2 linked regions of the Caenorhabditis elegans genome follow. The protein of the gene in region 1 interacts with the protein of each later gene in a pairwise test. Each region holds a gene or a part of one and is shown on either strand. Other genes may lie near its edges.

Region 1 (3,756 bases):
TAGAATTCTAAAAACATCATGAATACAGTTTATATGTTTGTTTAAAAACATTTATTGATAAACCTTTTCGAAACGTACTAATTCCCGCCGTATGGCCGGTTTTTAGTGGACTAGGCAACGCTCGGTTTCTAGGCTCTCCCGCGCTATTATACTCATTTGAATTTATCCGCTTTTTATTGAATTTTGAATATATATCGAATAGTATTTATTTTCAGATATTAACAAATCAGAAAATGGACACTGAAAACATCGCCGACGCCTCTGATATTCGTGTGAAGGATGCTTCAGGAGATTCAGATGAAAAAGGAAACGGGACTACTACAGAAGAAGAGACTGTCGAGCAGAAGTAAACTTTTGCTGCAGAATATCATCAATAAAATCACTTTTCGTATTCCAGAGAGAAGCGTCTCGCCGAGTTGCTTGCAGCTGGACGCCGTGCGTTGAAAGTTAACGATATCGACAAAGCATCGGATTCGTTGAGTGAGGCTACTGAACTGAGCTCCGAAATTTATGGAGAAAACCATGAAAACACGTTCGATTCTCTTTACTATTATGGCATGGCCACACTGGAATTGGCGAAGGAGGAGAGCCAACTTCTGAAAGGTCCAGGTGAGAAGGAAAGCGGAGATGAGGAGCAAGCTGGAAATTCTGATGACAAGACTGACGAAGAGAATGGAGAAACGGAGAAGGAGGACGGAGAGGAATCCGGTGAAGAAGAGGACGATGATGATGATACCATGAAATTATCATGGGAAATTCTTGAGGTTTCTTATTTTATTCAATGATTTTATGCTTAATTGTGATTATTTTCAGACAGCTCGTTGTATTGCCGCTGCCAAAATCGAAGCTCTAGAAGCTGAGCAGAGTGGAATCAGTGCCATTGAGGAATGGAACCTGAAACTCGCTGATGTACTGGTTCTCCTCGGCGAGCACGGAATATCAGATGGAAAGTATACTCAGGCTTTTGAGGACTTGGATCGTGCCCTCAACATTCAGCGCAATGTTCTTCCACCGTCGTCGAGAAAAATCGCCCAAACCTACATTCTCATCGGAAACGCGTGTGCTAGCGATGCGAATTACGATGAAACCGTTCAGTACTTCGGCAAAACCAAGGACGTACTCATCGCCAGGCAGACTGAGTTGAAGCATGAGCTGGAAAGAGGTGTTGATGATAAGGAAAAGAAGTCTGAATTTGAGAATGAGCTGAAGGAGCTTGAAGAGATGATGCCAGGCGTTGAAGAAATGATTGCTGATGCTGTGCACTCTGCAGCACAAGTTGAGGAAACTAAGAAGGCCATTAAAGCGCAATTCGAAGGATTCACACAAGTATTGGCAAAACTTCCACAAGAAGCCGGTGATCAGAAGGAAGCAAATGATATTTCTAGCTTGGTACGGTTTGAATTAACTTCCCGTAGACTTTTTAAATATTCAATTAACAAATTTCCAGGTTCGTCGTCCAGCAAAACGAGCAGTGGATGCTCCAACTGACAATCAAGCAGTGAAGAAAGAAAAGGAGGAGGAAGGAACAACTTCGATCTGAATATTGATAACCTGTAATTCTAAATATTTCATCATGATCTGACCTACTGAACTACTGATAATGTATCAATTAACATTTTATCTGTTATCCGAATTTAAGGATTCTAAAGTAAAACTTGTTCTGTATATATATATTCGCCATATATTCGTTTTTATAATTTGTTTCAAATCTTTTTCATACTTCCAAAATAATTTTACTATTTAAAACAGGATTTTCAGCTTCATTCAAATTCGAATTATACTTGTATGAGTGAAGAATTTGATGATTGCCATTGGAAAAATATGATCTCTGCTAATAAACAGTTTGATATTCAGCTGGGAGATGAAATTGGAAAGGTAATTTTTTTTAGATAATTAACAATTTAAAAAAAGTAAACTTAAATTTTCAGGATTTCTTCACCCAGGATACAGTGGTCTGCGCGTTTCGAAACAAGGAGAAGACCACGGATTTTGTCTTCACATCGGGTCCAATTATTCTCATTTGTGATGGAACGACGCGACGGAAGATGATTAAACGACGGTTCAAAATGGAGTTTGATATCAAAAAAGTGTTCTTCCACTCGTTCATTGTGACTCGAAACGCTGAAAAGTTGGCAACTGAGAATTGTGGTGGACCTGATACGAAGCATCGGGATTATTTGGTTGTGTGCGGTGAGCATAAGCTCCAGTTCATATCGCTTCCCGACTATCATTTCTATCACTATGAAATTCCTTTTAAGGTGAGAATTTAGTTTGAAATTCTGATAATTTCAAATATTTCCAGCTTCGCAACGTGTTCTCCTGCTCGACAAGTCTTCTGGTCGAACGGTTCTACGATTCATCCAGCGAACAAACCTTCCACCATCACGACACATTTCACCTCTACTCGCTATCCGGTCCATTCGGCGAGCTTCTCCCGGTTATCTACAAGACAAGCGGCTACCATCCACAATGGAAATTCTGTTGGCAATCGCATCGAGACGAGGCTGGACTCGTTGACGCTCAGCAAAATTACGTTGTTGTCTATGATCAGAAGGAGAAGACGCATCGGATTTATATGGCACGAGAGACACAAGAACAGGAAGTTCACGCAGCGATTCGATACGTTGAAGCACTCAGAAGACCGTCTGATTCAACAATGTTCGCGTCGAGTTTGGCGCCGAATTCTGCCGGCAGAACTACGCATTTTGATCCGACACTCAACTCTCCCGCCGGTAATTTTTGAAAACTTGAGCTTTTGGATAAATATATTATTCGTATTGTATCAGACATTCAAATCGTCAATATTTAGTTAATTTACAGTGATTTAAGTTAAAAACCAAAAAAACCTCGTTTCGAACAGGAAATAATTCGATTTTCCCCAAAAACTACTAAAAAAATCAAATGTTAAATTAGAAAGAGTTGTGATTAAAAACTAAAAAATAAATATTTTCAATTATGATATAGTGTGGAAGTCCGAGTTAATTTATATTCAACAAAAAATCATAATTATTTTCCAGAAAATGTGCTCTCCGAAGTGATCAGCTCGGAAATTGATAGCCGCTCACCGTTCACTCCTCATCTGCGATCCGGTTTTGGACATTCTACTCCAAACAACCCGAACGCTCCAGGCTACCCTGCAACACTTCCAACACCGAATTTTGAAGGTAATTTTTTTTTTTAATTCATAAAAATTTATTAGCACCATTAACCTCAAGTCGTGGGCGATCGTGCACGATGATGATGATCAAAATTTAAAAGTGTTATGCTTCGCCGTTGCTGATGCGCTCGTCCTGGCACTCGATTCTGTTTGACTTGATCTTCGAGGGGGCTCAATTGAGACGTCAACTTGAGCAGTTGAATGTCGCAATTATTTAGAAGAATTGACGGGTTGTTGGGAGAAGACATACGGCGGTTTCTGAAAATACGTGAAGTGAGAATTATAGCTGATGTCCGTCAAATTGTTACATACCGTAGTGCTGTGAAGTCTTGGCTATTCCTTTGAAGAGCTCCACCCGCGCGGAACATACTTCTTCGTCGATATGGAGTAATTGGAGATGATGGCTGAGTTGTTGTAGTCGTCGAGTTGCTCTCTGTTGAGCCAAGAAGAGCACACATTGGAGCTAGATTTGAGTAAATTAGAATATGAATTTAGCCAACAGAAACCAACAACAAAAAAACTATAAAACGAAAAGCACACGGCACACAGCAAACCTAGAAGTTAGTGTATTTATTGTTATATATATATATATATATACG
Region 2 (3,756 bases), on another chromosome or scaffold:
AAAATAGCTATTTTTCTTATTTGCAAAATTGATAAAATTATGAAAAAATTTGAAAAAGTTATATTCGATCATTACGGTTCATTTTCTATCATGTGCAAAAAAATTTACCTTGGTGGTCAAATATCTTGTACAAACTCCATTGATATCACGATCACCAATAGAATATTTAGTGACAACTGCACAAATTGCAATCTTTTCCTCATTTAATCTCGGAGATGAAGCAATACTGTAGTAACGGGCTTGAAGACGTGGAAGAAGTTCAAGAAGATACTCAATTGGTGGTTTACATGTCTTTTGATCAGTCAATACATCGACAATTGAACGACGCTCTTTGACAATGTATCTGGCGTACTCTTTCTGAAAAAAATTCAATTACTTCAAAATTAAAATTTAAAAAAACTCACCAAGCCCTCCTCATTGGCAGTTGATAACTTATTAAGGAATTCCTTTTCAGTATCATCCGTACAATATTCACTGATTGCTTTGAGCACATGAGATTTGACTGGAGCACAAATATCAACATAATGAGAAAGAGCAGTTCGGAATGTGGTTGGGCATGGGAATGGATGACGTTTTGATGCATCTTCATCAACGTTCACAAGACGGAATGCGTGATCAGGATCGAATTGAAGCATATTAATGAGACGATCAACAAGAACTGGATCATTTGTTGGGAAGACAGCCAGATGATCTCCTGCTTCATAACGAATACGGGATCCTTCAACAGAGAACTCAATATGTCTACAACTACGATCAGAATGTTCGGTATGAAGTTCATCATTGATCGCAACAGTAGCCAAATATGGATTTTTGACATCAAATGGTGGACGTGGACGTTCATAAGCTCCAAGTCGTCCAAATTCTCCCTTGAAAAGAGCTTTTCCTTCTTCAACTGGTTCCAATTGATATTGTCTCATTGTCTCGGCCTCTGTGTTCAACTCCCATCCAAATTCTTCAGCAACTTTTGGCAAGAAAGCTTCTCTCCAAATCATAAAATCTTCTTCAAGATTAGCATCATCATCTCCTAATCCCAAATGAAAGATTCTCTTGGCTCCAAGTTTTTCAAGTTGTTTGTCCATTTGAATTCCAATCTCATTAAAATGTTCATAAGTCTTATTTCCAAGTCCAAAAACTGCAAATCGAACACCCGACAGATCACAGTCTCCAGCATTCAAATATTCAACAAGTGTCACTGCATTATCAGTTGGATCTCCTTCTCCATATGTGGCAATGCATAGTACCAAAAGAGCATCCTCAACTTCACTCAAACGATTCAAATCTTCACATTCAATATCTTCTGGATCAACGACAACAGCCTTCTTGGTGTAACGAGTAAGATCTTTAGCAAGACGTCCAGACATTTCTTCAGCTGTTCCAGTTTGAGATCCGTACATGATAAGCACCTGAAATTAGAGAATTTTGATTCTATTTTCTTTAAAATTCCATATCAATTTACCTGTCGGTTCTCATTTTTCATTCGATCAATGAATGATTGATTCGATTTCGAAGCCGCAGCTGACGTGGTGACCGATGCTACGGTTGGCGAGTATCTGAAATTTTAATTTCAAATGTAAAAAAAATAATTTTCTGCATTTATTTTTAAAGTACCTGCTAGACGATGGTTGCTGATTGAAAACCTTCATGAAAAGGAATATAATTGCTCCACCAGCGAGCAGAGTGAGCACCACAAGGTCTGATGTGTCGAGACCCGACACAATCCACGCCAGCATGTTTAGAATGAGAGTTTCTGAAATTAAAGAATTATTTGAAAAGGAAGAGGGAGATATTGAAAAAGTAAATAAATAAGAAGTTATAGTTTAAACATGTTTTAAAATATTGCCGCTGAATTTTGCGATGTTTGCGCCGAGAAAATGACAAGTTTTTGTTAAATGCGCGTGCGCCTTTAAAAAGTACTGTAATTTCAAACTTTCGTTAATGTTGAATTTTAATTGATTTTCCATAGTTTTTTAAGTTTAATTTTATGTGATTTTTATTGTTTTCATGCATTTCTTTATTTTTTCAATAAATAAATAGTTTTTAAACAAAAATGTGTTTTTTTTCTGTTTTCAGGTGATTTCAGGTACTTAGAAAAATCCCGAATCAAACGAAAACAGAGGAAAACTCTGAAAAATTGATTGAAATGGCGCAGAAACGTTAGTTCGAAACTACAGTACACTTTGAAGGTGCACACCTTTTTGTATTTATCAAAAATTTGGCGTGTTGAGACTGGGTCCAGTGTTTTTGGCGCAAAAACCACAAGTTTGTCGCACTAAAATATATGTATTTTGAGAAATATCTGAATTTCTATCATATAACTGTAATAAATAATTTTTTACAAAAACAATTTCAACTAAAAACTTAATTTGAGATACGATTATCGTATAGCAAATTCAGTGAGTCTTTTTTCAAAAAAAAATGTACAGTCAATTTGTGTGAATGAATGGGAACATTAGACATATTGTTCTGTCTGTCCCCTTAATTTGGTCTTACAGTTAAAGAAAAAGAAGAAAAAACAAAAGCTACAGAAGAAAAATCGAATTAAGGGAGGGAGGTATATTGAAATAAACAAAGATACGCCGTGAGGAAAAGTTATTAGTGAAAAGAAAGTTGTATTTGCCAAGAAGGTGAGTATTTTATAGAAGCAGATAGTCAGAGAGTTTGCATCATTTTTTGAGGTTTGTGATCGACACACATAAAATATGATTTGGTGGTCGAAGAAAGATACTTCGAGAACACAAAATTTGTCAGACTTTGTATTGACACGTAGACTAGAGTACTGTTTAGCCAAAATTATCTTCTGAAAACAAAACTTCTAAAAACTATGTAATCTTAAAAAATTTCAGACATTTTGCAAGTACAGTAGGAAAATGCTTAAACAAAACTAAAACAAGGAGTCAGGAAAAATTGAAACAAAAAAAAACTGCGGCACAATATCTGATATAACCCAAGTAATTTTACGGCACAAATACAGTACCCAAGGTCTCGACACGACGAATGTTTGTTAAATATGAAAACACGTGCGCCGTTAAGGAGTACTGTAATTTCAAATTTTAGTTGTTGTTGAATTTTCATAATTTTCATCTCGCTATGTTGAAATTTGAGTTTTTAAAATAAATATATCTATTTTTTATCGAAAAACTTCGAAAAATTGTGGGAAATTCCGCAACAATGAAAATTTGAAGATACAGTACTCTTTCAAGGAGCACGACTTTCTACATTTTACAAAATTTGTTGTGTCGAGACCGGGAGCAATATTTCTGAAAATTAAATATTACTTGGTCACAAAAGAGAGTCAACTTTTGTAATAGAAATAAAATAAAATTGGTTATTTCCACTATTACAAGACTTTCAGAAATAATTAGTCGCCAAACGATTGTTTCAGTCAAAAATAATTTCCTAATTTGAATTAAACGTCAATTCAAGTCATGCGATGAAATAAATGACTGGTGAATAACTGTTGAAATTCAAAGATTGTCTGGTTAGGTTTAATCATTGATAAGAATTGAATTGAGAATTAGAGAAGAAAAGAAATTGCGAATTTTGTTTTTAAGTTGATAAGTCAAATAGATATGGACTGATTACACCGTCAAGCATTTTCTGTAGTTTATGTCACTTTTATCACATTTTGACAAAATTGGATGTTGTGTACGAAAACCACACGCAAAGTACGGTTTTATCAAACGAAAATGCGTTTTCTACAAAATTTGAAGTTCAAATGGAAAATCATAATTGTTTGCACGTAGTTTTCAATCAAAA

The links. The genes of interacting proteins can lie anywhere in the genome.
Region 2: the proteins of apc-1 (region 1) and emb-8 interact in a two-hybrid assay, tested with the Caenorhabditis elegans proteins (one large-scale study listed by BioGRID).

The regions. Positions count from the first base shown.
Region 1 is NC_003280.10:11,106,403-11,110,158, forward strand, and holds the start of apc-1 (Anaphase-promoting complex subunit 1), read left to right. Parts: upstream 1-1,758; 5' UTR 1,759-1,821; coding exon 1,822-1,875; intron 1,876-1,928; coding exon 1,929-2,258; intron 2,259-2,302; coding exon 2,303-2,732; intron 2,733-3,017; coding exon 3,018-3,164; intron 3,165-3,168; exon of another isoform or gene 3,169-3,210; coding exon of another isoform or gene 3,211-3,415; intron 3,416-3,469; coding exon of another isoform or gene 3,470-3,620; intron 3,621-3,756. Other genes in the region: nasp-1 (Protein NASP homolog 1), read left to right, coding at 234-346, 398-764, 814-1,389, 1,448-1,540; glb-4 (GLOBIN domain-containing protein), read right to left, coding at 3,211-3,415, 3,470-3,620. UniProt on the Caenorhabditis elegans protein: Probable component of the anaphase promoting complex/cyclosome (APC/C), a cell cycle-regulated E3 ubiquitin ligase that controls progression through mitosis and the G1 phase of the cell cycle.
Region 2 is NC_003281.10:5,197,931-5,201,686, forward strand, and holds the start of emb-8 (NADPH--cytochrome P450 reductase), read right to left. Parts: upstream 1,748-3,756; 5' UTR 1,731-1,747; coding exon 1,609-1,730; intron 1,551-1,608; coding exon 1,457-1,550; intron 1,404-1,456; coding exon 405-1,403; intron 358-404; coding exon 109-357; intron 1-108.